2 linked regions of the Oreochromis niloticus genome follow. The protein of the gene in region 2 purifies or fractionates together with the protein of the main gene of each other region. This does not show direct contact. Links are inferred from orthologs where the notes say so. Each region holds a gene or a part of one and is shown on either strand. Other genes may lie near its edges. The genes, in order: vamp4 and vti1a.

Region 1 (16,984 bases), on a different chromosome or scaffold from region 2:
CAAAAGCCTTCTCCCCTCTCTTCTTAAAAAACTTCTCCCAGTACTCAGCAGAGCTGAACTCCTCGGCGGTGCGAGGTAAAAGACTCATGGTCGGCTGCGATGGTTCAAAACGTTGCAGATTTTACCGTCACTGAACCTACAGCCACTTCTCCACATGGCACTTGGCTCTGATTTCCACCCGGACAACATTGCTTGCAGTACCGCTTGCTGATTGGTGGAGTGCCCCTACAGACTTAATGATGATTGGCTGAGGCTCTCAGATTTACTGTTATTGGTCGCTGCATATGTGGAAGTGCTCGGTTCGTTGTTGTTAGTCATCCGGGTTCAATTCATCATGGCGGTACCCGCTGGAAGGTCTGTGGTTTTCGTGACAGGGAACGCAAAAAAACTTGAAGAAGTAAGAAACAAATACTTCATACCTGAGGTGGATTGTATGTTTACGGCCGGAGTGGCCTTTCTAATCCGTTCCAGGAAGAATATGTGTTCATTTAACGGTCCTTTTCATGCTGCATGTTGTGCTGGCTAGTTAAAGTGAGATTGAGACTGGAGCAGTAACCAAATCCAGAAATCCCTTGTTTCGTTTGCCACAAAAAGGCCTTACTTTTTTTTTTTTTGCTTCGTCTGCTTGTTTGTGATCCGTCAGGTCATTCAGATCCTGGGCGACAAGTTTCCCTACAAACTAGTGGCGAAAAAGATCGACTGTGAGTATCAAAAGTAACACCACTGGCTAAAGAAAAATAAATACATAGATAAAAATTATGTGGTCATTGCTCTTGCAAAATTTTCTTTATGCAGTGCCTGAATACCAGGGAGAGCCAGATGAGATCTCCATACAGAAGTGTAAGGAGGCTGCACGACAGGTACAATATAAAACCACTGCCATATCACGTATTAATTAAAGACAGTGTGTTAAACGCCTTTTTCCCCTTTAAATTCAGATTGATGGACCAGTCATAGTAGAGGACACCTGTCTATGTTTCAGAGCTTTGGGGGGATTACCTGGTCCTTACATGTAAGTAAACTATCTAAAGTATGTATTCAATTATATCATCTTACATAGTGATAGTGAGCGTCAGTTTAAAAACAAATATTTGTTTTCATAGTAAATGGTTCCTGGAAAAACTCAAACCAGAAGGTAAGTAATGAAATAAATGCTATCTAGAATGTGTTGTTTAAACACACTTATGCAGAGCTTGATGGATGCTTGATAATCAAGTTAGGAAATCCCAGAAAGTTGATTTAGGTCATTTTGGCAGATTGCTTTCAATTGGAGAAACCTGTCATCCCTTATCCAGACGACTTCTCTGCAGGCTCCCAAACCTTATAGACAGTACGGTTGCATAAAGATCAGCACCATTGCTTAACAATGAGTCATGTGCCAATTAGAATTGTCTTCAGAAAATTGCTGGCTAGGTATGTAGCACGGAAGTGTTACCTGAACAGGCCAGAACTCGGCAGTCTACACCTACAAGCCAGAGGCCAATCTTTTGATGAAGATGTGCAGATCCTGGACAGGAATGAATGAAGGTTTGAGCGGGGAGGGCATTGATATAAAAATAGAGGCTCCCTTCCTCAGTTCTAATAGTACATCTCTCACCATCTTACAATGCCGTGATTGGAGCCATTCCCCGGTTCTTTGTTAGTAGTACTCATGGCCATTCATATTTGCATATCCGCAGTCATCAACTGATTGTGTGGCTCATTCTTATGCAAGCACCTTAATAGTTAAATTTTAAAATCTGTTTATAAACCTGCAGTCAGTTGATACTGAAGAAGTCGCACGGTTACTTCACATAAACCAAATCAACATTCTGGGATTATGCAGAGCTTCTTTAGAAAAACTAGTGTTGACTTTTGAGTTGTGTGTTTTTTTTTTTTTTTTTTTGTTTTTTTTTTGTTTTTTGTTTTTTTTTTTATTATTATTTTTAAAATACGTTTTAGGTTTGTACAAACTTCTAGCTGGATTTGAGGATAAATCTGCATGGGCTCTCTGCACTTTTGCGTTCTCTGCTGGGAAAGATGAACCCATTCAGCTCTTCAGAGGGAAAACAGAGGTCAGTCTGTCTCTGTAAATCTGTCCTGGTGTTTGTGCTTTTGTGAGTGTATTTTGTATTGACTCCTGTGGTATTTTCAGGGGTGCATTGTAGAACCCAGGGGGCCTCGAGACTTTGGCTGGGATCCCTGTTTCCAGCCAGATGGATATGACAAAACGTAAGCAAAACCATTTCCCCTTTTCAACCAACAAGGGGAGCCAGAGGTTAACACACTGCCTCTGCATTATCAACCATACAAATCCTTTTTGCTTCATGTGGTGCACTTGGGATAAAGTATTACTGTTATTATTTAAAATTTGTATCAAATAATAATTTTCACAAGTAATTTTTTTTCACTTTTCTGCAGCTATGCTGAACTGCCCAAAGAAGTTAAAAATTCAATCTCCCACCGGTACCGGGCGCTTGCTGCCATGTCTGAGTATTTCTCTCAAACCAACAATACCTCACCACAGACCAAGAAGAAAAAGGAGGAAGATTAAAGATAACTTTTGCTCCAACTTCAGGCTTTGAAGTTGCAGTATTATGCATCAAATATAAAGGGAGAAAATATTCCTTAATACGAAACTGTTTGTTAGCCCAGAAAAATATAAAAGATAAAACATTTTTGATGCGTACCCGTAGTCTCTTAAGCAGGCAAAGTGCTGCGTAATATCTGTTTTCTCTTATTTTTTAATAAATGTTTTTGAACAAATCCACCCGTCTATGTGAACATTTCTCTTTGAATATTACCTCTTGGATACTCTGAGACAACCTTCTGAGTTTTTGCTTCCAAGGACTGACAAAGATAGACTGAGGAAGAGCATAATTCATGAAAAACAGGAGCTCCAGGGTCCTGATGAGAGCAGCAGACTCCTCTGTGGCTGAGACTGGCTCCTAGATTTGGGGAGTGAGACACAGGGCTTGAGTCCAGAGAGGGGAGGGTCCCTGAAGGGGAGAGCGGGGTGTTCAGTACAAACACCACAGTGATAACAGAGAATCTTGGGTTATAAATGGCCCATGAGCTGAAAGCCTCCAAGCAGGAACTATGCATACACCTGTGACTAATATCTCCCACATGTATTGAATCAGTGATGCATGCTTCCACAGCAGTAGAAGCATGTGTCAGTGCTGCTCCTACTGTTACCAAATGTTTAATCACTTTAATCAACACACTAAATGCCGTGTTTGTTACACTTGTGTATTGTTCTCACTTATCTTTCCTGCATGAAGGACTGTACACTGTAACGTTTTCCCATGTAGTTAATGACATTGATAATCGGTAAAAGTGACAGTTTCATAAATAAAAGTGCAAACACAGGACCACCCTGTTTCTCTAGACCTCTAACTCTAATTTGGGATTTGAAGTAGAAGGTTGCAAAAAAAAAAAGAACATGGGAGCTGTTTTTTTTTCTCTTCAAGGACACTTTACCAGTTTTTCCCAGAATATGAAGTCTGCCTGCCAGGCTTCAGGTTACTAGAGGTAAAAGACAAAACAATTACTGTGAGTGCTGAAGCATTAATCGAAGCCGAAATGCCTGTGTGACTGTTGGATCATTTGAAAGGTATCATTAGGGCATGATACCTAAATTTCAATACACTATCCAAGCCCACTAACAGGAACGATATTCATGTTTTTAATATGATACAGTTTTTGGCTGATAATGTGTTATGTGGTCCCTGGGACATATTTATGTAGATTTCTATGTAAGTGTCTTCATCCTCATATTTAGAAATCTGACAATATATTTCATTCACTCCACTTTACTTACTTTAGTACTACTTGCAGCTCATTTTTCTTGCCTTTTTTTTTTTTGTACTAAAGAGTGTCTGCAGCACTTTAAAAAAATCTGTTTCCAAGAAAAAGAGGTCTACTCTTGGTACCATCCAAACTATAGAGTTTCTGAATTTTCTTAAACGCAACTTTAGGTTTAAAGTTTTTGGAAACCGTTTAAAAAAAACTGTAATACAGATACTGATTTCTGGAATAGGAAAAATAGTTGTTTTTTTTAAATTTGTGACTATATTTCAGTTTCCTCTACCATGGCAGAAACAGACAATGGTTCTTTTGTTTGAAACTCTCACTCATGTGTATACGACAAGCATTACAAGTGAAAAACCTGGAGACTATAGAACGTGCCCAGGAGCCAGTCAGTAATAGGCGTTTTTCCAGGCACTGAAAGTCCATGGTAGCTGGAAAAGCGTCTCCTGACACGACCTGCAAATCGAATACCTTTCCCCAAAGCCCTCATGGGGAAACACAGGATGTTTTCATTCTTTATTACAAACAGAACCAACACAATGCTTATCCAAGGAAACTTGCTGTTCTAATAAGAGAGTATGCTTTGGTTAATGAAGGAATGTGCTGCTCAAGGATCCTGCGAGGAAAGGACGCCTGACTTTACGAGATTCTTAATCAGTCGTGGTTGTGCCAGAGGAGGAGGATGGCTTGATGTGGCACTGGGGAGACAGACTTTACTTCATTTTTATTTGTTATGCACGACTTACCTGAATTCTCCTGCTGTGATGAGTTTTATTTAACAGCAGATTTAAGTTAAAAATATTTTTTTGTTCCTACAATAACACGTGTACCTGGAAAAGGCTTTGATTATACACCACATGACTTACAATGCTGACATCTAAAAAAATCTGACTCCAGAAGGACATTTAATAGAGGCCATTTTCCACTCTATAAATTTGGTTTCACCAAACTCACTCTTGAATGAAGTGTCCTCAAGGGATTTTAGGGTTCAGACTAATGAATTAATCCACCATGAGGCCACTGGTGTGCACGATGGAAACAGTTGACCTAATACATATTCCTGCTGGGACTGGTCCTCTCCGTTTTCACTGTTTATGACGAAACCATGAAGCTCTCTGTGGAGGCACAGAGGGCTCCATGAATATTTCCTGTATTTAACTTCTCCAGAGGGATGTTGGGATCTAATTTCAGCCATAATCTTCTGACTTGTACACTGACTTTTGGCTACTACTTTTATCACCACTGTACTGTAAAAACAGCCAGTATAAAGAGCATATCAGAATCTGGGTGTTACAAACTTAAAATCAAGTAGTCCTAAGGGGAAGATTGTGATTTATACATAATAATAAGGTATTTCTCTTCGTTAGTCATTTCTAATTTACTTGTGTTTTGTCTGAAACAGGTCTCTCTTGTAAATGAGACACTGAGTCTCAATAGGACTACCTGTATAAATAAAGTTTAAATAAATTAAAATAAATAAGTCTCCATAAAACATGCTTAAGTACAACGGCAGTGTTTTGGAGTAAAATACAGAGAGAATGAGACAAGTAATTCCAGATATGCATAATAAAGTCATTAATTTTTTCAACAGTTAATAGTTTTGTTTCAGTCCTTAAATTAAAGTTGATTTTGAAACGTTATCACCTTGTAAACATTTCAAGACCCAATTGTACCTTTACGTAGAAAGGAAATATCTTCAAATGAATGATAATTTGCTCATATTAATCCAATATGTGAGATTTAATACAGACTATAGTGGCATGGTATACACCAATCATTTGAACTTTAAATAAAACTAAACAACAGTGGGAGCCTTCTTGTCATATTTGGTTTGCAGTTTTTAAATAGAACAAAGCATAACAGGGACTCCTGTGTTTCAGGGAAGAAGCATGACTGCTGCTCTCTGAAAACTTTATTTGCATGAAAACATACACCTGACTATATCTCAGCCCTAAAAAGCATTGACGCCATGCACAAAATGTTCTTAAAATATGTAATTAACTACTGAACTGATTGAGAGATTTAAAAAAGTTTAACTATGAGGTTATTCTACAAAGCATTTTCCCCCACATAGCGCTTTTTAAAAGATAGCAACCGCATTATGTACGGGGGAAAGGTGGCTTTAAATAAAGGGTCTATTCCACTGGGGAGATGTGTTGTATGACATTTGATGCAAACGGAATAAGCTCAGAATTTAAAAAATATAGTCTATAACCAGTCTGCTTTTTAAAAATGTTGTTAATGTCCCACAGGGAGAGAGACCGAGAGACACCATATCATAAAAGTGGACTTGCTCTACCCGAAGAGCCCAGGGTTATGCAGAGTCAGAGTCTGTACGAGGCGCTGGAAGTCCTTCACCATCCAGGGCTGTTGGTGTGTCCCCACTGCACAGGCACTGCTGCTCTCAGGGCTGATACTCTGCGGGTCATTAAATGTGATGAGGACATCTGTGGAGAACTGCGGCAGACGGAACAGGCCCAAGTGGATGGTCACTGAATTCCTTGCTTCTTCATTGAACTTAGAGACGGACTGAGTCCCAGTCAGCATCCACGCAGTGCTGCACTCTGACAGGGACAGCTCAGATTTGGGCAGAGTCACAACACTAGTCACTTCAAAAGCCCCCGGCTCCAGAGCTTTGTTGCTTCCCGCGATGTCCTCAAAGTGGTACCTGGCTGCATCCTGGTCTGCCACCTGACCCTGGTACTCCACCAACTCGACGATCAGGCTCTGGTCTGTGTGGGCGTGGGCAAACACCTCCTGGTTGTCCGGGATTTCTCTCAACTCGCTGATATCTGTGGCGCTGTGAGGGATCACAGCTGACAGGGCTCCTCCAAACAGAGGATGAGCCTCGTTAGCTGCTGCACTCTGCATTTCTCTGTGAAGCCTGTAAACAGAAAGAAACACCACAGGTGAGACCGTCTCCACCCACATAAACACCACCTACTTAACAAAAATTGTAAAGGAAAAAACAGAAGCTTTGGTGAAGTTGCTGAACACATCTGCAGCTCACCAGCTCACCTCCCACTGCACGGTCAATGTGGTTCCGGTGAAAACTTAATCTTCTTCTTCTTGTTGCGTGTGTTTTTTTTTTTTTGCCATTATAACAAACACGCTGCTGCCACCTACAGGTGTGGCAGACCTCGACAGAAACGATTTCGCAGAATAAACTTAAAAATTATAAATCTAAAGTTTCTGATTTAGTTTTCAAGCTCATAACATACATAGCAAAAAAAGAAAACAAAGAAAAGAAATATATAAGTAGGTTTAATTCGAACATTTAAATGCTGAATGTCCAAATGACGTACATGGACGTTCAACAAAACAAAGTTCCCAATATATTATTCATCTACATAAAAGTAACACAAATTTTGTGCTCAAAAAGGACAAGTATAAACTTATATGATCCCACTCCTGCTTTCTGTTTCATAGCAAGATTCACCTTTCTTTCAAATGACCTGGAAATGACACAATGACACAAATGACAAATGACAAATATAAACAAAAGACTCCCTTAACGAGGTAAAAAGCTGGATAAATCTAACATTAAACCAAAAATTAAAAAAACAAGAATAAAAGACAATAATTTCATGTAATATCTTTAAAGATGTTAAATACATCCATTAATTTTTTTTTTTGTTGCAAACCATGAATTGATTAGGTTCATTAATAATCAACACCCATTGTACCTTTAAAAAGATGTTGGATACATTAATTATGTTTGGTCTCATTTGGATTTGTGGGAAAGAAACGATTCAGTCTTTTCCTTTATGAGTAAAAATAACGTATTCTTTGTTCGAAAATGTTAAGTTGTCAGTGTTATCAGCTCAACATTTTTAAGCAACCCAAATGTTATAAAGAAGAAAGCATGTAATGTACAGAAAGAGCGGAAGAATCTGTCTATTTATAGATCAGCTAAAACTTATTTTACCGTATTTATTAGAAAAAACTAGTGGTAATATCCTTGGTACAATTCTCTGTCTCAGCACTGGCGATTGTTTGTAATAAATAGTGTAAAGGCACCATAAATACATTGGTAAAATTAATTGTTTCTTTGAAGAGACCAGATTTTTCTTCTTTCTAAACATATATTACTTTGAACTTCTTGTATAGATAAGGTGGAAGAAGACATTTTAATAAACAATGAAATCCTCATAAACACTGTAAAAACACGCACTCCTGTGACAAAAGTCAAAGCAGTCTACTTATTACACTGAAAATTGGTTTATCATTATTATTATTGTTATTATTATATTTTATATATTTCTGTGTAGAAGTGGAATATTTACTGCATAAAAGAACGTAAGGTAAAACATTTTCCGCAGGCCGTAAAACATCTGCAGCAATTTCTCCTCCTCCTCCTCCAGCTGTTTGTGTTGATTTCCTGGTCAGCTGATTCAGACCGAGCAAAGATAGGAAGAGGAGAGCTGGCATCCACAATGATCATCGTGTTTCATGGTCATTGATAGCATTTGAGATGAATCAAACAGATCCGTAAAGTCGCATTAAGCCTTCGTGTTAATTTCTGAGTTTCTGTGTGGAGGAGTTTACCGGCTTCGAGCGGCGGATCCTGTGGAAAACAGCAGGTAGCCGCGTTAGCATCCTTAGCTTAGCTTAGCTTGGTAGCTAAGCGGCCTGTCTGATACGGGTAAAATAATAAAGAAGAGTGTAACTAAGCTGTAGTAGCTTTTAAATTGTTTTTCGTATTGTGGAGTTGAAACTTCATTGTTAATTAGGTTGACAGGAATATTATTTTCTAAGATTTAGGCTGTCAAACAGCTCGACCTGCTAAAGTTGTTGACGGCTGTGATATAATGTTAATTAGCTTATGAGATTGTGAGCTTGTGTGTTCAGTTTTACTCCTTTGCTAAACTGAGGGATCCTTAAAGCTATTACTTTACTTGTAATAGAAAAAAGGGGGGAAATCGGCCGCAGATAGCCAAGCTTTACTCATTTGGTATTCCTCTCTTGATAGAAATTGATTGTGGGATTGATTTTTCATTCTTCTTCTGTTTGCTTAAAGTTGCAATCAATGAATTGATTAGGGTAATTAATAATCAACAGCCAACATTAAGCAATTTCCACAGGTCTTTTGTTCCAGTGTGAAACCAAGCCTTTCCTTTATGTAATAAATCACTGCTTTTCTTTCTGTTTTTCAGTTTTTTACCTTTAAAATTGACTCTTGAAATAGACGTCTTCCTGCTTTCCTGCCTGAGCCTTAACATGTTACGTAGATGTAACTCTGGCTTCTTTCTCTTCACACTATTCCTGCTTCAGATCTGTCCCCTGCCTCTCTTCTCTGTTTACTGGAAAGCTCTTCTCCTCTTCTGACCGCTGAAAGGCCCAGTTTTCCAGCTGCAGTGCCAGAAAAGGAATCTGAGAAAGCCACTGTGTCAGAACTAGCTGGATTCAATGGTATAAGTTGTATTGTTGGTTTAACAGAGACTCTGTGTGTGTGTGTTTGTGATTATATTACCACTGAGGGCCACATGTTGTTTAGTTCAGTGTCACAGAGGCCCTTTAATGAAGCATCTGTGTGTGTTTTGTCTTGCTCTTTGGAGCATGAAACACCCAAACACAGACTCCAGGGTGCATAATTGGAAGAACAGCATGTTTTCCATTTCCGTGTTACATGGAGAGCAATGATGACATTTCCTTTCATATCTAGTGAGACTCAACACCTGCTCCACCAGAAGGATTTGGATTTAAAACAGCTTCATAAGATATCTGTTTTTGGACTGTTTTAAAAAATATTATGTTTCTTGTATATGAGAAGCTGGAAACTCAATATCTGATCCAACATCACATCCAATTACTTTGGGGACTGGAAAAATCAGTTATCTTGAGCTACACTCTTGAGATTCCTAAACCTGATACAGTAAAGAGGCTATGTAAAGTAAAATAGCTCAGATGAATAAAATAGAATACAGATGTCTTACATTAAAGTGGCTCAATATATCCAGAACAATAAGAGTGTAGTGAACAGTGAAATAAAGTAGCTAAACAAATAGAGTTGTATTGCTGGGCCGTGAATTCACATTTAGTCATTTATAATGTTTAGATTCTCAGTATGTTTGTAAACTCTGCATGTGGTTATGTCTGTAACTCCTTTCCTCTTACCAATACTGGAATCTTCTCAATTCAGGTATCTAACTCTGTTTTAAGTTCTCCCACAGTGTGGTAAAGCTTCATTGATGACTTTTCTTCTCCTGCCCTACAGAGGGAGCCAGACCGGGAGGAGCAGCCTGAAGACAACATGCCACCGAAGTTTAAACGACACCTCAACGACGATGAGGTCACGGGATCGATTCGCAGCGAGAGGGTGAGACACAAATAGACATGGAGGAGCTGGTGTTTGGCGTTTGGGTTTGTAACAAATTGCATGCGCAGTTAGAGAAGCAAAGTAGGACATGTAGTATATTTTCTAAACCACTTATACCATTCATGGTTGGAGAGAGATGGAGCCTGTTCCTTCAGATGTTGGGCAAGAGGGTACTGGACATGCTGGACTTCTATCTCATAGGGTAACACATTACTTTTACTGTGGATTGACTGTGGATCCCATCCTGAGCGAGGAAAAAGCCCTGTATCAGATGTAGAAAGTTTATTTGTCAGATTAGTCATAATGGAAAAGCAACAAAAATAAGGGGAGCGAACCAAAACAACTTTTTTTTTAAGGGGTGAAGCTTTAGAAACTGCTATGGCCAAATGTCTGGTCCTCATCAGGTTGATCATCCCGTCCCACGCACCTCAACCTCCCCTGTCCTCCTCCTTATTCTTTATTGTGTTCATTCCTCTCTTTCCTCTGTGTCATCCTGTTTGCTGTTGTGTTGAGCTGAGATCAAAGCAAAGCTTACCGGGAGGCTTGCATAACAAAATAACCTCCCATGCTTTTCCTTCAGTGCCCGGCCTCCTGTCTTACAATAATTGCTAACAGTTTCCTTCACGTCTGCTGTCTCGAATGGAAAGAAAGAAAGAAGTTTGTACAGAAGGAGATTGTTAGTGCCTTAACTTATAAAGTATTTTATGATCTTATGGCCACCATTCCCACAGATTTTTTGCAGATGCCATTTTATTTACAGGAGAATAAATTGTATTGGCCCGACATTGACTGGCAGAATTGACACTACAGTGCATCCATAGGTGTCGCAGTTATTAGAAGGTGAATGCCATGGCTGAAAGAATTGAGATTTTAACCTTCGTTACTGCTAAGGTAATGAAATTCAAATGTAATTGATCTTTCTCATAAAAATTTCACACTGTTGGGTTTTAATATCGATTACCTTTCTTGTGTAGTCTCTAGTAGCAGTGGATAAAGTCCACCTGCCTTCAGTCCAATAAGAAACAGACTCGTTCTCTTCTCCTGTGAGAATTTAATGCAGCTGTCCTCACTTATTCTTTATAATTAGCAATTTACACCAGAGTGCTTTTTGCCCTGATTAAAGCCAGCAGTCGTTCAGACTTTTCATCACTGCAGTGATTTTGTGGCATAATTCGCCGTAAGATGCCAGACAGGTTGTCCCATCCCTTTTCTTTTTTTCTTTTTTTTTTATCTGATCTGTACAGTTTTATGTTGGCTTCTCAGCATACTGATTGTCCATCCATTCATCCATTTTCTTCCACTTATCCGCCACCGGTTTGCTGGGGTAGCAGCCTAAGCAGAGACACCCAAACCTCCCTCTCCCTATCCTAGTCCTCCGGCTTATCCAGGGGAACACTAAGGTATTCCCTGGCTATCTGAGAGATATAATCTCTTCAGTGTGTCCCTGGTCTACCCTGTGGCCTCCTTCGGGCAGGACATGTCTGGAAAATCTCACACAGGAGGCATCACAACCACTTCAACTGGCTCCTTTTGATGTGAAGGAGTAGCGTCTGTACTCCGAGCCCCTCTTGAATGACCGCACTCTTCACCCTGTCTATAAAGGAGAGGCCAGCCACCCTTTAGAGAAAGCTTACTTCTGCCGCTTGAATTCACACTCTCATTCTTTTAGTCACTGTCTAAAGAGCATGACCGTAGGTGAGGGTAGTGATATAGCATACTGATCGTCCTGCCCTGAAATACTTTCACTCCAGTGCTTATGTAATGTAGTGGCTGCTCTCACACATCACATTCTTAGATCAACAGACTTGAATTTTTATTGCTGCACACTGTGACGACTGCCCACCTGGCCAGTAATAACAAGGCATCCAGTCTGCACCAGGCTGGAAAACAAAATCTGGGGAAAAGTTAATAGTGTGCCTGAATTCAGCCAGTCATGCAACACAAGCTTGGGTTTCTATTGAGCCTGTCTTAGAAATAAGACAAGAAAACACATCAGGTGTCTGTTTTCGTAGTCACATAGCTCTTTGTAGGTAGGCAGTGTGTTTACAAACAACTTATTAGTATATTGGTTATGTGTTCCTCCAGTTATTATGCATTATTTTAGTGGTGCCCTTATTTTGGGGCATCACTAACAACCTCTACTTAGAACAGATAAAGGAGTTTTTATTGGGCTTTGGACAACAGAGATTCAGCTTTTGTTCTGCTGTTCATTCATCATACAACAGCCTGATATTGGAGCCCTTTGTAACTTTGACCGGTTGTAGCATGGATCCTGTGGAACTTGATTTTTGGAGGGTAGGGCCTGCATTAGTCAGACTTGTTGTTGTATTCCTTGAGCTGTTCCTGAGTGATTTTTTTGCAGTGTGCTAGGGATTATTGTCCTGCAGGGGGCTGCTATGGGGTTGCGCTTTTTTGGCATCAGTGTTTAGGCAGGGTGTTAAGGTGTGAAAGTAACATGTTGATTAATTGCCAGGACCTAAGGTTTCCTAGCAAACAACTGCTTTTTAACAAGCTGATCAGTTTGACTGTATTTAGACCATCTGTTAATGGTTTTAATGTTTTGGCTAATCGAAGCACTGGGCTAATGTTGTATTCACTGTATTGACCTTCGAAGGATAGTAAGCCAAAGGCTGTCATTGATCCCTAAAGCAGCGTTTTGGCCTTTTGATGGATATAGTACGTCCAGTTTCTTGAGTTCTCATCACCAGGACTACTTGTCAGCAATCTGCTCAGGCTTTAATGTTGGTAATAGACTAGTGCTCTGACCAAGTCCCTCCTTATCCAAAATAGATATCAGGCAGGCAATAGTCCCAACTTCTGTGAACTCTGACCTTTTTCTCTTTTACAGAGGAATTTGTTGGAGGAAGACTCTGATGAGGAGGAAGACTTCTTTCTGTGAGTGTTTGTTAATGAATTTAATAATAATACATTAGATATTTAAAATTAAGTTGCATTTCAAACAGTAGAGCCTTAATTTGCTCAGATGAATCAGGCTGTGAAGATGTTATGTTTTTCTGACATATACTGACCAGGTTTTAGAGCATAGAGAAAACAACCAACCACCAAATTGAGAAAGTTTAATAGCCAGTCTAAAGTTGTAGCCAGTCTATGGGAGTAATATCGATAATATTGATTGTTAGAGCATAGTACACTAACTAATCAGCACAATTCATGGTTGTAGTCTGTACATTTGACTTCATCCATGCTTGTTTTTCAGGAGAGGGCCAACAGGACCCAGGTTTGGACCTCAGAATGACAAAATCAAGCAGTAAGTACAAACACATACCTCATTACAACAAAGAATCAGAGGTCAGAGTAGTATTTCCATTACTGGTTTTGGTATTGGTGTTATGTAACTATGGTTCGTAATGTTTACCAAAAGCTGCTGGTTATTACCAGATTGTGTAAGAGAGCCCATCGTGTGCAGGTTATTGTGTAACCTTCTCAGGATGTCTCAGTCCCTCTGCAGACTAACAGAGAACAGAGGAGGTCATTGTTGAGACCGTCTGGCACTCTGACTTGTTTCTCCACACTCCATTCATACTTTATAGTTTGTTATTGTTGTGAGCATATGAAACTAGATGCCATAGCTGCACATTTGACGAATGTTAAATTCACGGGGCTCTTGAACCTTAACCGCTGTGGTCACTGTAGTTGTTTATGTGTCGTGATGGCAGCTCATACTTCTTTTATGTCTTTCTAATTGTTTGTTTTGCTCTGGCTTATGACTGTATACCACCTTCAGCATGCAATCAAGCTGATAGCCAAGACTGATAATTTACTGCAGAGCTTTTGTTTGAAACAGTCAGTTTGATTGTGAGTGAGAGCAGACAGTTGTTATAGAGAGAAATTCCACAGTTTTATATCATTATTTTTCCTCACTCATGAGTTTCTTTGCCAACTTCTTCCCGCTTGTTAACCATTCAGGCCTCCAAGTGGTATTACTCTAAGATAAGGGTGACCTAAGGGTAATCTGAACTACTCATAGCATACTCAGTTATGAGTAGTATAAATAAAGGATTTGAACTTTGCTGCAGATACCTAACAGGTGCAGACAGGTCACGCTGAGGCTGAAGGACATCTGTCATGCTTTTCATTGTCTGCCAGCTGGACAAGGCCAGACATAGAGAATCTTTGTACTGTACCAAAATAAGACCGGTCCTACCGTTGTGATTCTGTGTCCTCAGGGTGCAGTCGCAGGTCGACGAGGTGATCGACGTGATGCAGGAGAACATCTCCAAGGTGATAGAGAGGGGCGAGCGACTCGATGACCTGCAGGACAAGTCAGGTGAGACACACGAGCCGCCACATGTGCATATTTACCAGACATGTGTGCACTACTCAAGCATGAAAGGCAGGAAATACCATTACTATTATTGTTTTAAGATTTCGTTTCCAGAAAGACCCTACAGACTTATTTTATTTTGGGTTACTTAGGTATTTAGTAAAGCTTTCTGCTATGTGCATCAAATTTAGAAGAAAGTCATTTACTAATGAGGCTTGGACATTCGTAGCATGCAAACAACCTTAAAGTTGAATGCCCTCAACTTTAATGGTAATGCAAGCATGTGGTTAGCTCTCATTACAGCGCAAGACTAATTTAGAATAGTTTTTAACAGATGTATTCAACTGGTAAGAAGTTCCAAAGTCAAACAGTCAGCTAAGTGTTACTGTGCACTGAAGATATCCTACCTTTACATTGTGTCGGTGTGTTACGTAAATTAAATGGAACAATTTCTGTAAACCTTAAAATATTAAATATGTTTTGGCTCTTAACAAGGATAAAAGCATTAACATTATGCAAAGTTCTTCAAACAGCAGGACTCGGGTGTGCAGTAGCAACGATGGCATGTGAATAGACTCCATATATGCAGTGTTAAAAATACCTTGCATCCCTGTGTAACTGTTTCCAGGTATGCAGCTTATAGCGTTCGACAGGTTTTGTGCTCTTACTGCTCTTTGTTGGACACGCACAGCTCTTCTTTTTCGCCGCTAATGAAAACACATTGCTGCACTGCATTTGTTTTTTTGGTGTCACACACACACAGATGTTGTACATTGCACTCCAGCTTAGGTCTATTGTGTTGATCAGACAACCAAGACAATGACGCACATCTGGAACACATCTTTGTGTGTCTTTGATGTGAGTCTTTGTGCATGTGGACATGTCTGTGTCTAATTGTGGCTCCGCTGTGCCTGTCGTCCTTCAGTCTTCCTTCTGCGTTTACGTGAGAAATTTACAATCATGTAATTGACACTAGCAGTTTGCCCTCTGACCCATGTGCAGGTAGTCTGTGGTTAAATTCCAAAAGCCTCTTTTTAGAAGCCTGAGCACTGCTCTGTAGTGGTGACAGGTTGTAAACATGGAGATGGAAACAGCAGAGACAAAGACTCTAAATAGGGACCTAAGCTTAGATAAGTACAGCAATGCACACTAGGGAGCTCGACCCTACCTTCATGTTATCATACATAAACATAAAGTTAACAACGGTATCCAAGAAACAGAAAATCAGTGGTGTGGGCGAGTCGTTTGGAGAAGGGCTGGAGGAAATGTGTTTTTGCTCCATTGTGTTTTAATGTGGAAACTTGTACAACAATTGATGCCAATAGAGTTGGTTTAAAAAAAAAAAAACGATGTTTAGAGGAGTGACTTCACCATCACAGTTAAGTCTTACATAACTCCTACACATGCACAACACCGAGCCAAAAAACTTGAGTGACCCTATCCAGCTTGAGAATGAAAACAATATTCAGCTTATTGTTTACTTTACCAATAAGCAGATGTCCTTTTTTTTTTGTCCTCTTTGATTTACTTCCCTCCTCACGTGTCCTTCACTCATCTGTGCCGTGATCATGTGATGTTGCAGAGAGCCTATCGGACAACGCGTCTGCTTTCAGTAGCCGAGCCAAACAGCTGCACAGGAGGATGTGGTGGAGAGATATGAAGGTGGGGCATCCATTTCTTATTTAATATATATATTTGAATGCCATTAAATGCAACACAAATAACATTTAAATATCTGCTCGTTATGGAAATGAGGAGGTAATCTAGCAAATCAGCTTGATTAGCAAAAGTTTTAAGTTCTGTAGTTATCTGTAGTCTGCAAGTAGCTATTTCCAAAGTAGATCTACAAATAGGCAAAGCATTGAACCCCATGATAGCTCCCTTCATTTCAATAATGAAGGAGAAATTATACAAATTATACGAACATTTTACATATTAATGAATGCCTACATTAACTTTCAGTGTTATGTTTAATGCATTTAATGGCTTATTTTTTGCATGTATTTATGATTATGGCAGTTTTTGGTCCTCCACAGGAGATATTCACCGTTGTGTGTTTTGTGTCTAATGTGTTGTTTCTCTCTCAGATGAAGATGATAATTGCGCTGGTGGTTGTTGCTCTCCTGCTGATTATCATTAGTAAGTATTATACTAAATACATGAACAGAGTGTAAATTTAGAAAGTGCGCAGAACTTCTCTCTTACTGTTACTTTTTTCTTTTCTTCTCTTCATCAGTTCCAGTGATTCTTCGATATCGCTAGTGACTTCGGAGGAGGATGGGGACAACCTTCCTCGTCCTCTAGCTACCCCTGCACACAATCCTCCACTCCAGCTAGGGGGCAGCAGCCAGCTTCCCACACCCTCTTCAGTGTCATCCTCTATACCCTCAAGGATCTGGTCTCTACTTGCCACTTAGTACAGATCTTATCACTGTACTCTCACATAAATCTACAGTGAGGTCGGTACTAAGGCTTGGTTTGATCCCTAACTTGAAACTAAGCTCCAGAAATGGGACACATGGGGAAAAAATGGGGATTTATTCCACCAGTGCTGTTTGGGAGAAACCTCTCAGCCCTCTAGTCAATGT
Region 2 (16,548 bases):
GGTTGTAATCTTTCCACACAGGTACATTACAGTTCCTACACCAACTGCTGACTTTAAGATGCAATGTCAAGTTGTACCACACTTGCAGGCGTAGGTGCCAACCATCTGGTCCATGGTGTCTATACTTCCTTTGGCTTGTTGTAGAATGTGATCAATTAATACATTGTGCTGAGGAGTACAACAGTTTCCCTTTTCTTTCTGACATAGCTGACTATGGTAAGGCTGCCATTGAATCCAACCTCTGTGTTGTAAACTTCCCAGGATGAGGAAGGATGGAAGGATATCTGCCTTGTCCCATTGTAGTTCCCACAATAGTGTCTCCAGAAGACACTGCGCAAGAGGCACACTGGAGAAAAAGTCATCTGTGGGCATGTTGTGTCTTGTGCTTCTGAGTTTACTCCACAACCCCTGGACAACATTTTCTCTCAGCTTTTTCTGAACTTCTTCCCCCATGTAAAATATTCCAAATATTATATAGCGGATGTTGGCATCACAAATGCAAAAGAGTTTCAGGCCATACTTGACGGACTTGTTTGGCATCTACTATGGAAATTTTGACTCCCCGTGAATGCCACAAGTTGACCATCTAGGGTGGCACAATCACTGGGGATGAACACTGTCTGAATGATGAATGAATACTGTCTGTTAATTCTTGCTGTGAAAAATAATCTTCTTACCACTTATGGAAGTTTGGTGTAGTAATACAACAATGACAATTTTGTAAAAATGTTTAAAAGGTAAGTTAAAAATGTAAATGGCATGACATTAAAAACATGTTTTTGAGGAATAGCTGGAACATGAAATGCAAACAACTTGTCATTAATTAGATATTGCAAGAAAACATCCTGACCGGGTCATTTGTGACCCACTAATGGGTTAAAGTTGTTCAATGTTAAGCCACTGTGACTGCAGCGAGCTGGCCACAGCAACTGTCTGAGCTAGTTTCCATCTGTATATATAGTTGGACTTGTGATTAACTTATCTGTGTTCGAAGCTAGCTAGCTAGATGCAACACTATAGCAGCACTGGCTGCTATAGTGTTGCAATCATACTCCTCACGATCCTAAGATATCGCAATAGAAACTATGTTGTTCCAGACGTTTGGTACGGCCTGTACATGCAGCTAGAGCAAAAAAAAAAAAAAAAAAAAAAAAAAAAAATCGTTCCCAACTGACAGTTTGGCTGACCGTCTAACAGCAGCTTACCTGTATGTAGCAGATCTAAAGCGCCGTGAAGAGCGTCAGAGTCGAGCCGTACTGATGTGGAGGTGCACGCATATTTACTGGAGAGCTCGTTTACCTGTCACTTTTAAGCGAGAAGCTGCCTCATCCCGTTCAGTCCTGTGCAAACTGCTAAGAACCCACTAGTGGAAGTCACTCGCACGTGAACAGGGTTTTGTAGTCACGTGATAGCTCCTGGGCACTGGATTGGATGAAAGGCTACAGAGTCGTTGAAAGGAAGCCACGGTCAAGTGACCAAGGCAACGATTTTTTTTCAGCCGTGAACTCTAAAAAATTGAAGGTATTTCACTGCTTTAGGTATTTATTTATTTTAAATTTATTATAAAATATATTTTATTTTTATTTTAAATTTTCATATTTATTTAATTAAATAATTACTAAAAATATATATATATTTAAAAATTGCTTTTTAAATGTTTTAATATTTATTACATTTTCAATTGATTTCCTCGTTTTAGTTTTTTTATTGGTTGGTTTTGTTTTTGTTCTGTTTTTATTATCTCAAGTGTCACTTTTGGTCTTTTTAAATTATCATCATAAAACCCTAAAATCAGAGTCAAGATATAAGAATCTTAAAGTAAGTATAAGAATACAAAGGCAACAGTTTGTGAAGGTGTCCCGTCTCACATACTCAAATACAAAGGGAGGATTTGAATGCCAAATGTGACCAAAGTGAAAAAGACTTTATTTTATCTTAGTCTTGTAACTAGATTATATTATTGTTTGGGTTTCATTCCCCCCCCCCCCAGAAATTTAGTTTGAATTTGTCTTTTGTTTAAACCTAATTTTACTTTTTAGTTGAGCTTTAGTTTGCTATAAACAGTAGTAACATATTCTGTGGATGTAATATATTGTATTAAACAGTGTGGAAAGTAACTTAATACATTTACTCAAGGGTTGCATCTCAAAGGGAAATACTGTCAAGTTTCTTTCCCACACTGATATGGTAATTTAACTGTTCAACAGTCCTGGGTCTTCCTTGTCATATTTTTAGTTTCATGATATTCCAGATATTTCTACTGATGAAAGGTTTGGACTGCAGACAGGCCAGCAGCATGCCCTCTTCTACTATGAAGTCATGCTGTTTTAATTTATGTAATATGTAGTTGTTACATAATAGCAAATACTATCAATTTTAATGTAATATTTATATGAAATGCTAAACAAACAACATAAAAGTTAGATTAAGCACAACAGATACAGAAACAAGAATACAAATATTTAGACTGAAATTTGCCTGTTAATGAAGTGTGCCGACGCACCCATGTTCCACCTCTAATAGACCAATTTGTCATTAGTTAGTTTAACTTTTGGCAAAACCAGTATTTTTAATTATTTTCATTGCTTAGTTTCCTTTGGTCACCTTAAAAAAAATGAGGCAGAAGTTGTCAATAAATTTAATATTATAATGAAAAATAAAACATTCAACTTATTCAGTTATAAACTGCAGAACTAACTTTGATGTAAATTGTTCCTATTAAACGAATTATACAAATGTTTGACTGAAGTGGCAGGTTTAATTATGTACAATTTATCAAATGTGAACTTAGCACTTTTTACAAGCTCAAGATGTCTTAAAAAATTAACAAACAAGAGAATCTATTACAAAGAATGAGACAAACACTCTTGAGGGATATCTTTCTTTATGTTTCAAATTATATTTTGAGGCCAACAATTTACTTTTACAAAAATAATAAAAAAAAGAAAAAAAAGAAAATGAAATGTTTCTGTAAGGTAGAAAGAGTTGCATGATGATGCCCTCAAGTTTGGTGGGCAGAGGCTTTGCATAAGTAGCAAAAAAGAAATACCAACACAAATGAAAAATAACAGGTTCAAGTAAAAAGTTTAGTCATAACAAAGTTACACCATAGTCTGGTGGCAACTCTTGGACATTAAGACGGTTGTTGAGTTTAATTTTTGGTCAGAGGAGTCAAACTGAGCCTACGGGACCAGTTCCTCTAATGACTTCTCCACAAATAAAAAGTGCTCAGTCAGACTCAAAAAACTACTTAGAAATATAAGTTGGCACTGAAATGTGCAAGAAATCGAAAATTTGAAATTTATGATGGTAAACCTGCAGGATTGGGCATGACATCTTCAGTGGATGCTCATAAACATTGAGAGACGTGTTCTGCTCAGTTTAATGCATCAAGCCCGTTGACATGTATTAATTAACTTTTTTATCACTGGTGGCATCACTTGCTGCTGTGTCATAATGGCACTTCTCCACACATCGTCTTGGAAACCATCCTCTTACACGCTCTCCAGCTTAATGCCAAAAGAAACAGAAAGTTCCACATTTGTTACAGTGACTTTAAAAACACTTTGTTACAGTGATTTTGAAAATTCAACGGGACAATAATTCCTTACCTCTCACTTCCTCCTCACTCAAAACTTTATCTCCATACATCCACCATCTAAAGGGATAAATTACAGTTTAAAAAAAATTACTCATCAAATACCTATAAACCTTATTAGCCTGTGGGGCCAGGTTCACCCCTTAAAGGCTGCACTAAGGTATGTGGTGTACTATGAATCAGCAGCTGGAGGAGAGGCATTTACAGGTCAAAACCTGTTTGACTTCTGTGTTAATCCCAGTTTTTCCATAATGCACTCGGAAAACCAAGGTTGCAAGTGGAACGAAATTAGCAACTGGCTGACTGCTAGGATCTGCTTGGGAGGAGTGACTGTAAATGATGTGGTCTATTTATGATCAAGCTGTGGAATCTGTCACTCAGACCCAAATGGACCACACTCAAAATCAAACACCAAACAGGAAACAGTAGTTCTGTGCAGACAAACTTACTTGGTACCACGAGTAGCCAGAATGGTATCCCCCTTGCAGAGAGGGATCCTGGGCTCCTCGGTGCAGGGGGTTCTAAAAAAAGTTTGTAAACCCTTGCTGAGAGGGCAGCAAGCTCCATTATAATCCTCTACTGCCCGGTACTGGACCTGCTGGTCAAGGCAAATATGATACATGGTTATTCTACTGCCCTGAACGTCAGTTAAAAGTTAATTATGTATGTGTAAAAAGTCTTTAATTTTAGTGCATTAAAACATCTGACAAATTTCACAGTACTGATTATAAGATCTACACTATATGAAAGGTATTTGTTAATTTCATTCTCTATGGTGTATTGCATTGTTACAAGCTAAGATGTAGCTCATCAGTTTCCTGACATGATATGATTATAAATATGATCCTAAGTGTTTATTTAGTATCAATCCCTAGTACTTCAGCATGAAAATACACTCTTCTTGACCTGTATGTTTTGCTTGTTGCACACACTGCATAAGCCAAATTCATGCAATCATAAATAAACCCCTAAGAACACTTGACAGTTATGTGCATTTAAAACTACAGTCTTATCACATTTTGATTTAGTGGAAAAGTATTTATTCTTTAACTTTCTCTGGTGATAGAAACACAACACAAAGGTTAATGGATAATAGTATGAATGGAGAATAATACACTGGCAAGCAGATCTCACAAACATTTCAGACACAATCAAATCTTGTCCTTGCACACAGAATGCATCTGGTGGTTACTTACACTTCTCACTCGTTTATCAGCTTTCTGTTTCAGTTGCTCAATCTGTGTAAGGAGAAATAACAGGTACAAACATTATCTATAAACTGAACTTTTATAAGAAATGTCTAATGAGTCCTCACTGAATCTATGGAGTTATAGGATGTTAAACAAACAAAAACATGTTTTTTCTAATTTTATGACAGAACAGTAACAAACAAAACACAATCAGCAATGTCTACATTACTCAACTCAACCTACAGTTAAGGTGTGCTGGTGACACTTGGGATGGACTGGCCATACAATGCCATCGCCTCTGGGTGTCCCTGACCACGTGAAGACTTGTTTAAAATTCAGCCAGCGGCTGCCGAGGTCGTAAGGGAAGATGAACTCCTCCCCTGTTTGGTAGTGCTGTATTCTGTCTTTGGCCTATTAAAAAGAAAGACAAGCAAACCAAGAAAACACATTTTCTAGTACTGTCATAGGGTACTATAACATGTGTGTCTCGGTCATTTTTAAATATGAAGTACTGCAATGATCAAATGCAAAACAAAACAAACTACTTTTAAATCCCTCAGTATTGCGTGAATATAAAAATCACATTAACATCCCAGATTACCGTTTGTGAATCAAGAGAAAAAGACACTGATATCTCAAAATGTTATCAGGAATCAAAGTCACGGGAATTCAAGCAGAGACATTCTGACCTTTTCCTCTATCCACGACTCGATTGAAGTCTTATTTCGAAGGATGACTTTCATCTGAAAAGGACAGACATTCATTATCAGAGTCAGCAATCTCTCAGCCTATATTTCCTTAAATAAACTGCTTTGTTATTGGAGTATTGATTGGAGCTGGATATATACTACACATGTTCAAGCTTTAAACTTATAAAATCGGTTTCACTCTTTCTTGCTTGAGAAATTTCAGGTACCATCCATTTATTACAGCTATTTAGTTTATCTTTTTTATGCTATGGACTGTCTTTCTTTCTCCCTTTATGTTATGTTAACCATTTTTGTTACATTATTTGCAAATAAATAGGTAGGCGTATGGATCCATGCATTTGTAGAATTATAACACAGTTTTACTTCTGATACGCCTACACACGCCAGAATATGCTCTCTGGTCAGATCTTCACCAGATGCTTTCCAAACTGCTCTTGTCTTGAAGTGAAAACATGGCTTGCAAGATGTAATGTGGCTTTGTAGGATTATGAGTAAATAATCAGACAAATGTCTCTTTTTTTTTAACCAAAAGCTTGTTAAGTTTGCAAAACTTAAGAAAAACTCACCTGTATAACGAAAAGCATACCAACGGCAATAGTGGTGCCAAGTGCCAAACCTAAGGCAAAGAGTGTAGCAGCGAAGGCAGGCACACTGAAGGGCATGAGGGGCTGAAATTGACGCACAGCACTCATGTCAATCCTTACAGTACTCCAGCCGAATGATATCTGCAGTGAGGAAAGAGGAAACAGCTTTATTAGCCTGGTGGGGGTTCGGCCTAGAACTGTGATAACAGGACATCAAAAGCTTGGTGGGGCGAGCTAAGGTGACAGCTCACCCTCTCATACAGCTGTGTGTACATAGTCATAATGAAGATAACGGCAGCGTGTGAGCAACCCAGTGGAGCTAGGAGCAGGAAGCTGGTGAAGTAGGCGTGGTTCAAGTGGCCACAGCAGTTGTTGATCCAGGGGCAGTGGTGGTCCATTTTCATCACGCACCTGAAGGAATGGAGACGAGGAGGAGTAACAGGACATAAGAGTAATAATCTGCGGTCAAAGCTCATTTTTCAATGGTAAATGGTAAATGGCCTGTATTTGTATAGCGCTTTTACTAGTCCCTAAGGACCCCAAAGCGCTTTACACATCCAGTCATCCACCCATTCACGCACACATTCACACACTGGTGATGGCAAGCTACAAGCTACGATCGCCCCTCAATCACCATACAACTGCAAAAACAGACATGTCACATCAATAGATAATCACTAATGATGTGCTCTAAGGTATGGAGCACTCTAATGGAGTGATACTTGCATGAGAGGAAATAACAGGCACTTAAGGGATGAATTTCTTCTGCAATAGTAGTTTGGTGTGCTGCCAATAGCTCAGTATTTTGGAGTCGTGGTGCCTCGTTCCTGAGCCAATTTCTTTGGTCACAAGTCAGTCTTTTTCCATTACAAAGAATTTTTTTGCCACTCCCCAAAGCCTTTTTAGTCAGCAACTAAAGGAGGAGCTCTCTTCTCATTCACTGCCACACTATTTTGTACAGGTTAACCATTGTGAGTGTGCTTAAACATCAAGTTTTTTTGGGAATAAATGTAAATACCTGTTACACTTTCGACAGTGGTGGGACCTGGGAGCCTTGTAGCCTTGACACCCTCTGCAGTACTGTAGGTACTGGGTGTCCTGCTGATTTTCCTGTTTCAGCATAGACACATGTGTCAGATAATATATGGATTTACGACATTTAAATAAGTTCATGCTTGCTAATGTTTGTGTGCTAAAAAAAATAAATATATGAATTTATCCTTACTGGTTTCCAGCCAAGAGGAATGTATCCAGGTCCAACAAACATAGCATTGAAGTAGTTGTAAAGTATGAGGACAGTCCAGTTGATGAGCATGATGAAGTTAATGCTCCCCCCTGTAGTGTCTAGAGGCCAGTACCAGATAATGGAGTCTAGAATTGCCATTGTGGAGCATATAGCAATGACAGACAAGGCTATGATTGGACCCCAGTGGCACAATCTCCGAACCTCATGGAGGTTCTTAAAGGTCACAAAGGTTGACAGGAAGTTCATTTTTTTCAGTGCTAGTTTAGTTCTAGTATTTTGGCTGCTTGACTCCAGAAATTTCAAATGTCGATGTTTTAGTGTTTTCCTCTGCTATCTCCCAAAGTCACGGGTAGAGGTGATGCACATATTTTTTCTCGTCCTCGGAGTATCCAGGAACAGGCCCAGTCTTGAGCTACTGGCGTTTTCTGTGTCCCACGATTTCTTGTCCTGGCAGAGAGCAGCATCCTCTCTTGTCAATCCCTGAAGCACACGGTCTTTGTGATGGACTCAAGTTTCCCATCTGAATTCTGCTATCTGAAAGAAAATCCCGAAGGAGAATGTCCAACCTTCAGTTTGAGTCCTGAAGCTCAAGCCCACCTGGGTTATGCAGCAGGACAATGACATGACACACACCTGCAAGTCTACCTCTGAATGGTTAAAAATAAACCAAAATAACATTTTTGGAGTTGCCAAGTCAAATTCTGGACTTTAATCCGATTGAGATGCTTTGGCATGATCTTAAACATGCTCAAAAAACCTTCAATGTGGCTAAATCAGAACAATTATGCAAAAAAAGAGTGGACGGAAATTGCTCCACATCAACGTGAAAGACGGATTGACAGTTATAACAAATGCTTGACTACAGTTCTTGCTGTCAAGGTTGACACAACCACTTATTAGGTTTAGAGGGCAATTACCTTTTCATACAGGGCTACGTAGGTTTGGATACCCCCTCCCCCCATTAATAAATGAAATTATCCTTTAAAAACTGCATTTTGCATTTACTCGTGTTATCTTTGTCTAATGTTAAGATTTGTTTGATTATCTGAAACATGTAAATGTGACAAATGTGCAAAATACTCTTTCACAACACAATTTAGATCATACTGCTATTGAAAAAGATGTTATTCATGCTTTAAAAAAAGAAACAACTCCTCGGTAGTTGCAATAAAAATACTGAACAACCATGACTAACATTTTTAGCTAATGACTTAAAAGCAAGTACAGAAACGGCAATAAAACATGCCACACTAACGTAGACAGTGCTGGATTTGTATTAGTATTAAATTACCATACTAAAAGCAGAACCATAGCATTTGCTTCATTGACTAATTAGCTTGTGTTACCAAGCTAGCTAATTCTCGCCAAAAAAAGAAAAATAATTACGATTTATATGCAAGTCTTCTATCCATCACTGCACAGTAATGGACAGAAAACTATGCGTTAGACAACTCCGCTTTAAAAAAACAAACAGACAAGTGATAAGTTTATGCCTTTAGCTCTAAAATTGTGTTTCCGTTAGCACCGTGGGTTGAGCAGTTATCGTTAGATAGCTAGCCTAGTCACCAGCATAAACACTAATAACGTAGCATGCTGAACACTTACCACGAGGGGCAAATAGAAAACAAAGATAACCTAAATGACAAATGCTTTGTTTTTAATAAATAGAAACAAAAGGCTGTCACTTTAAATCACCAACCTGGTCACTTCCTTATTTTTTTTTCATAAAATTTTCCTGTGTACAGTGAGGAACCTTCCTCATGGTGTCTCAGAAACTACTACCCTGAACCACTTGTAGATACCTTTTAATCCAAGTAGTAGTCTATCACCGAAACGGCACAGAACTACAAGAATTATTCATGCATTCAAATTCGGGCTGAAATTAATAGCATTTTCTGTCCACCTTTCGAACCTTTTTCAGTGTCGAAAACGTGAAAACAAAGTCAAGTTCCTTACCGAGCACATTATGCTGTGACTCAAGGAAGAAGCTCCATTCGAGGCTTGTTGTTATTCCGAGCTAACTGTCAACCAGAAAGCTACTTACCTGTTGTAAACTCGACTACCAGAATGTCTTCAGACTTTGAAGCATACGAGCAGGACTTTGGAACAATTACAGCAGAAATAACTAATAAAATTGGCCGAATTCCCAAACTAAGTGGAGGTAAGAGAGTTACATTTATAAGCTGTTAAACCTCATCTGGCTTGCTAGCTCTAGTCTCAGCTGACAAGGCAGCTAACGGTAGCGATAATGTGATTTCATCCAAATATTGGTCAAACTAGTGGTGAAACACAGCTATATGTAAAGAGTTCTTGTTATATAAAAAGAATGTGTCATGTATATGTGGCCGTCTTCTTATCTTGGTATGTCTTTGATCGGTTTAGCCGGTGTGAAAATAGTGTTAAAGAACATCCTAACTCTGTTTATGGTGTTCAGAAGAGGATAGAAGCTTCAAATCACTTTAATGAGTAGGTTAATATTAATTGAAACTATTCAACTGAAGTAATCTTTTAGTGTTATCATAGTGATTTAGTGTATGAGATTCAGTGTATGAGATTCTTGCCAATACTTACCATAAAGAAAAACCTATGGATGTTTTTGTGGACAACCATCATTGGAAAAGTTAAGTTTTGGAATGGCACTGATATCACAGCAGCTTTCAGTGACACTTTTGGTGAGTGTAGTTTTTAGTTTTACTGTGGATTTCAGTTTTAGCCAGTTTAAAAATAATTCAGCCTTTTGATACCAGCAAGTTTGAAAGCATACGTTTCTTAATATGTTAGCAAGGGCCTAGTAACTAATATGATGGACTAATAACTTTTTCCTGGTATTGACTTAAAAAATATTTAAAAGCGTGTCTTTGGTTGACTATTTATTTAGCTCTTCACATTCCATTCACTTTTATTTATATAGCGTTAAATCACAACAGCAGTCACTGAAGGTACTTGGATTAGAGCAATGTAACCTTCAGTGGACGGCTTTTCCAGCAAAAGGTTAGGAGTTTCAAAAATGTTCTCATTGATCTTCAGAACACAGTCCTGGATGCAGCTGTAGATGGTGTACTCTGGTTCATCCGTGCGTGCTGTCCTGCACAAAGGTGCAAAATAAGGACAGTGCATGAGGTAGGGCTGCTCAATTATGGCAAAAATGATAATCACGATTATTTTCACTGAAATTGAGATCTTGATTATTTGACGATATTTATTTAACAATAACAATGTATTGAATAATGGCTTTAAAGATTGTCAAAAAATAGTATAAAATAGTGTGCAAATACTGATTAGTGCAAATGTTTGCAATATAAAAAATAAATGAAAAATGTAAACATCTATGTTTAGTGAACTTCAAAAAACTGCACAATATTTGATCCACGTCTGACTCCGCGAACCCATAATGTTTCCACACCACTGAAGTCGTTTTACCTCTCTTTTCAACCAACGGCATTCTTTCTTCAGCAGCCGTTATCCTCTCCTCTCCAAATAACTTCTGCTTAGCTTTCCGAGCTTCCCTCGGGTCTTCTTAATTGTTGTGACACGTGTTTGAAACGCAGAGAGGTGTGCTCGATTTGCCACACGGAGCAGCGCGAGAGTAAAGCACGAGGGAGGTGCTAATAATCGGCTCAGTCATTTTTAATGATCGTTGAAAGCCCAGATCGTAATCTAGATTAAAATTTGATTAATTGAGCAGCCCTAGCGTGAGGTCCATAGTAGGAGTTACAGATGGGTTTGAGGTGGGATTACATCAAGCATCAGGTCTGAGTTCCTTCTTGTTTGCAGTGATAATGGACAGGTTGATAGATGAAGTCAGGCAGGAGCCTCTGTGGACTTTCATGTTCGCAGATGACATTTTGACCTGCAGTTACAGTAGGGAGCAGGTATAAGAGGTCCTGAAGTTGAGGTATGCACTAGAAAGAAGAGGAGTGAAAGTCAATAGACAAGAGAGAATACGTGTGTGAATAAGAGGGAGACAGATGTAACAGTTAAGATGGATGAGTTTAAATAAAAGCAATGCACAGTGCACAAGAAAAGTTAAGAAAGGAGTACAGGAGAGGTGGAATAGTGTCAGGGTTTATTTGTGATAGATGGACAACAGCAAGAGTAAAAGGAAAGAGAAGGTATTGAGACCTGCTATTAGTGCTGTGCGATATGACGATATATATCGTGTGGACGATAGAAAAGTTTCTATCGTGCCATTTGTCTTCTATCGTTTCTGTCGTTTCTAACCCTAATTTCATAAATTATTACATAAAATATATCATTAACCCTTTACAACCGGTCGGAACAGGCACACTCCGTTTTGCCTAACTATTTTTAAATCCCTGTAGAACTGGAACCACGTAAGGTAGCGCAATAATTTTTTTTTGCATATGAAACCGTAGGAGTTGTACTTACATGTTATTCCATTAGCTTGCCCTAGGTCACGGTTTCCTTCCACATATAGCTTTGCAAAAATTGCATAAAAAGCACTTCCAGCAACAAAAACATAATATTCCAGACTTGCAGCAACAAAAACAATATTCCGGAAACACGCTTTGCCGATCCGATCAGCTGTTCATAACACTTCCTAGTTGGAATATATTTGTCAGCGCGAACTATCGCATGTCCGCCATTACCTGACCGAAACCGGAAGTGACGTCATTTTCGCGGAAAATGTAGTTTTTTTACTTTTTATAGCCTACGTTGGTGTTTTTAAAAGTCATGTTTGACTTTATGCTTTTCTGTATCGTTTCCGGGATGCTTAGAAGTCAAATTACACTGTTGGAAATAGTTTATTTTGATGCACAAGCTGTTTTTTTGCAAATTTGCATTATAATATTTATTTTCATTTTTCCTGTAGTATATAAAAATTAGTGTATCTCAAAAATAAAACTATGAAGACACTCAAAATAAATTTCTCGTGGTTGGAAACTATTTTGTGCAACTTTCTGGTATTTACAGTTTTGAGGGATAAGCCTCTTAAATTTCTCTAAGTAGAAATACATGTTAAAAAAAAAAAAAAAGATTTTCAATTTTTTTGTAGTTTATTGCACTTTTTTGCAATTTATGTAGTTACTATGGACTTAATGCATACATATCATTAAAATTTGGGCTATAACGGTTGTATTGATGTATAGCAACTTGAAATGCTCCCACAAATGGCACTACAGCATGTAAAATGTAAAGATAAGCTCTGGCGGACTTGGTCTCATGGTAGGTCTTAAAGGGTTAAATAGCCTGTGGCAAATATATTAGTGTTGTCTTCTCACTATACATACTCTTAACTTTATGCAAGAGAAAATAAAGTATAAAAAAATGATATTTTTCACAAAGAAACTCCGTCTTGTGGTTTTGCGACATGGTGCTGCTTTACATGCACCCGGATTTGCGACATGCTTTACGGTAACTCAAAACAAAGACTGCACCCTCTCCACTCGCTGTTTACAGACTGCATACTTTCCAGATGACCACAGGTCAGGTGGTATATCGTGATATATATCGTTATCGTGATATAAAATAATTCATATCGTGATAAATATTTTTTCCATATCGCCCAGCACTACCTGCTATGATGTATGATTTGGAGACAGATCATTAATAAAACCACAAAAGACAGAAAGTTTTTAAGATTTTTTGGGGGAGTGGCCAGAATGGATTAGATTAGAATTGAGTACATCAGCTCGGATTGAGCAGTTTGCATACAAAGGTGGAGAGAAAAGGCTGAGATGGTTTGGAAATGTGGAGAGCAGGGATAGTGAATGTATTGGACAAAGGGAGGAAAAAAGGAAGACCACAGAAAAGATTCATGCATGTAGTGAAGGAGCACATGATAGGATGAGGTGGAAGCAGATGGTCTGCTGTGACAACCCTTAAAGCGAGCAGCTGTAAGAAGAAGACATTGCTGGTTTCATCAGTTTGTTAAAGTGATAGCATTCTGTCATTCTATCAGACTTAATTCAGACATAACCAAAGCCACATGTAACACTTTTTGAATGATATATTTAGAATAGATTGTTATTAAATTGTAGCTCTTCAAATGTGACTTTGTGAATTCTTTAAAATGAAAACACAGGTATTAGCTGGTAGCTTCTGGTCTCGTCTCCTTAGAGTTGTTTTGCCTCTTCGTTTGTATGACCCGCAACTCCTTCACTTTAGAAACACTCATTGATAGATTCTGATGCTGTAGGAGTGCAAATCTGACTCTGTCTTCATCAACTTTATCACAAAATTTTATTTAAAGATTTTATTCTGTAATAGAATTGAAACTGAAAGCTCAACATACATGAAAAGTATTTAGGGATTTTTGGTGTGGTCCATGTGTGCTTCCAGCAATTAATGCTGTGTTCACACCACTGATAAGAAGCTACAAACTGACGCCTGACACTTGTTGATGCTTTATGTGCATCAAATCAAAGTTGAGCTGACGTCCATCTTTTTTTTTTCAACCTATCATATGCTTGTTGCAAATAAACACTTGAGCGACACTTCAGTAGCAAACCAGTGACAGTGTCGCTTGTGATGTCTGGCTGTCTTTGTAACTTTGTCTGGTTGTGAGAATTTAACATTAAGGCATGCAAAAGCTCTCTTTGTTGTTTAAGGAGGATTATTATTCTGTTGAAATGTGGAAAAAGCATTATGTTCTAATTTTGTTTTGTACAATAGAAACCTCTTTAACATATCTGACCACAGTTTTGATAAAGGTGTAGCTTTGAAACTTCCTTGAGATAACTTTGGGCAGCTGGAGAACACCTTATTACTGTAGGATATTCTCCTATATAGTCATGTCTTCTTGAGCTGGGCAACTTAAGATGCTGGAGAGACATCTGCACAGTGGTAATCTTTTTGAAGTTGGTTAATTTTTGTAAATTTTACTCATTCAGACCTACTAAGACTGCTGTTTGTGGAACGACTTCGAGTATTTCTCCCCTCTTCTGCTCTGCGTGTATCAGTTTCGGAGGAGAAGCAGAAGAGACATACACATGCGTGCACACACAGTGAAACAGACAGCAGAGGAGAGAAACAAAACTGAATTGGACTCTTTTGAACTGAGCTAAAATAAAAAGTGTGCACAGAATATAAGTCTTTGGCTTGACTATAGAGGGGGCGGATTGATCCAAATATTGATAGTATCGATAGCAATTCTGGTATTGATACTCAGATCGATACTTTTCTTTTAAAAATATCCCCTTAAGTTCAGTATGTAGCCCTCTGAATTGTATTAAATTAATTAATTTAATTTAATAATTTTTTGGAAATGAAAAAATATACCTCCAACATACACTATGAAAAATGTCAAACAACAGAAGTTGACACGACCTTTAGAGACGGGCACATTTACATTCTAGGTCTCAAAAAAACGCAGTTTGAAAAAAACATGAAACGCTGTAAGGTGTATTTTGTTTTGTTAACCAGTTATTATGGAAAGTAAAAATCAGAGTGAGTTAATGGTCACTATTTGCAAATTGATGATGAGCCATCTTTTAAGTCACGAGTCACTGCTTTCCCCAACATAAGCTGCCTATGTAGGTTTAAAGTATCGGTACTGGCAATTTTGGCCCTGTATTTACTTGGTATCAGATCAATACCAAAATCTGCAATATCGCACCGCACTACTTAACTACATTTTCAGATAGTAATATGTTGTTAATTTTAGATAAACCTCCTTTCTGATCGCCAGTTCTGATACTTGGTTCTGTAGGTTTCAGACATATGAAATCCTGATTATCTGAGCCTGTGTTTTTGATACTGTAATTTATATTCTGCAGGATCTAGGCACAAATGCATGACTTTGACTTTTTTCTTTGAAGGGAGTCTTTAAAATGTATTTATGTTTAAATTTCTGTACTGTGAAGACCTGCACCAAAAGAGGGTTTAGAGGTGGGTTAAAACCTACAAATGCTGTTAACCATCTAGCTCTGGGTCTTCCCATCTTGTTTTTTCTACATGCAGATTTACCAGATTGCTGCATTAGTGCTTTGGTGGCAGTCTTTCAAGATGGTCTCACTAGACAGGCAGCTGAGAGACGGGCAGCTTGTGGATTTGGCTAAGGCTGGAAGGGAAACATGAGTATGGACGACATGGAAAAGGCCAGAGCTAGTTCGCCAGTTGTGATTTCACTTTAAAAATGTAATACTTGTACGTGGCACCTAACATACCCATAAATGAATGCAGACATATCAATTGGTAATACTGCCTTATTTAAAATGACTTAATACAAAGCACATAATAGAAACTTGAGCTTCAGTTGCCCCCGTTATTTCACAAGGGATCACCACAGTAAAAAGCTCCACTATTGACATTGCAGATTTTTTTTAAACCTCAGATTCCCTTCCTGATGGAAGCCCACAGGGATTTATGTCTCCTCCTGGGATCAAATCGTATTGTTTGCTTGTTAGGTGGATGTATAAACAGCTACACTGTCATCTGACACTACTCAATACCAATCACAGTTATAAGCTGAGACAAAATAGTCATTGAGTTTGTATATTTTTTTCTCAGTGCAAGAGCCTTTCTGCACAGCACCTTCTTCCATTTTTACGGTCACTTTTCAAAATTAAATGGTATTTTGCAGTGTGAAATACACTGGGTGTTTTTAGTTTACAGCTACACTAAGCTAAAATGGTGGGAAATATATATCTAAAGGTGGATATGACAGTTAATTTAAGGCTGAACTACTACATATTAAAATTTTGGTGTCCACACCTAACTGAGTAGTAGCAACCGTTACTACTTACTTACAGCGAGTGTTAACTAGTAGTTTGTTTTAAGTTTTCAGTTTTCATATTTGGAAGCTTTATCTCTTCCTCTCGGCTCACACTTGCTCATTGGGTTTTCAAAGGCGCTGCTCTCACAAAACCTCGCTTGACTGAATATTTCTGGTTTGGAATTGGCATGTTTGAAGACTCATGGCAGCCCATTCCGCAGAGTAATTTCTCATTGCTTCCTCTCACCATCTGTTGACTGTGTCAGAGGAAGCCTGTATGAATATGTACAAAGCTAGAAAATGCATTACAACCATAAGTAGTTGTTGTGTGTTTTCTGACACCAATGGAATAGTTTACAGTTGAATTTCAATTCCCTTCCTACTCATTAAGTTTTTCTTAAGTTCTTTTGGCTCTTCTTACCCAAGTGGATGCATTTTGCACATGATATTCCCTCTGTTTAATATTTTAAAAAGGGACCATAACGTTGTTCTTGTAGTTTATTACTTTTACTCGCATGTTATGTTGTTAACAATGGCCATGGC

Evidence for each region.
Region 1: the proteins of vti1a (region 2) and vamp4 purify together in Homo sapiens (affinity purification with mass spectrometry; 4 studies listed by BioGRID and IntAct, counting the BioPlex papers as one, with this or other methods). This does not show direct contact. The link is inferred for Oreochromis niloticus from reciprocal best matches to the Homo sapiens genes VTI1A and VAMP4.

The regions. Positions count from the first base shown.
Region 1 is NC_031986.2:38,753,242-38,770,225, forward strand, and holds the start of vamp4 (vesicle-associated membrane protein 4), read left to right. Parts: upstream 1-8,157; 5' UTR 8,158-8,375; intron 8,376-9,066; 5' UTR 9,067-9,201; coding exon 9,202-9,204; intron 9,205-10,009; coding exon 10,010-10,111; intron 10,112-12,959; coding exon 12,960-13,006; intron 13,007-13,328; coding exon 13,329-13,379; intron 13,380-14,298; coding exon 14,299-14,399; intron 14,400-15,978; coding exon 15,979-16,058; intron 16,059-16,483; coding exon 16,484-16,535; intron 16,536-16,632; coding exon 16,633-16,658; 3' UTR 16,659-16,984. Other genes in the region: mettl13 (eEF1A lysine and N-terminal methyltransferase), read right to left, coding at 1-88; itpa (inosine triphosphate pyrophosphatase), read left to right, coding at 335-397, 644-701, 796-860, 939-1,012, 1,104-1,135, 1,942-2,054, 2,135-2,211, 2,401-2,533; rangrf (ran guanine nucleotide release factor), read right to left, coding at 6,088-6,663. UniProt on the Homo sapiens protein: Involved in the pathway that functions to remove an inhibitor (probably synaptotagmin-4) of calcium-triggered exocytosis during the maturation of secretory granules.
Region 2 is NC_031973.2:13,237,176-13,253,723, forward strand, and holds the start of vti1a (vesicle transport through interaction with t-SNAREs homolog 1A), read left to right. Parts: upstream 1-9,355; 5' UTR 9,356-9,395; coding exon 9,396-9,489; intron 9,490-16,548. Other genes in the region: palmitoyltransferase ZDHHC6, read right to left, coding at 3,409-3,509, 3,612-3,658, 4,048-4,196, 4,795-4,836, 5,032-5,199, 5,478-5,531, 6,065-6,223, 6,334-6,493 and 2 more. UniProt on the Homo sapiens protein: V-SNARE that mediates vesicle transport pathways through interactions with t-SNAREs on the target membrane. These interactions are proposed to mediate aspects of the specificity of vesicle trafficking and to promote fusion of the lipid bilayers.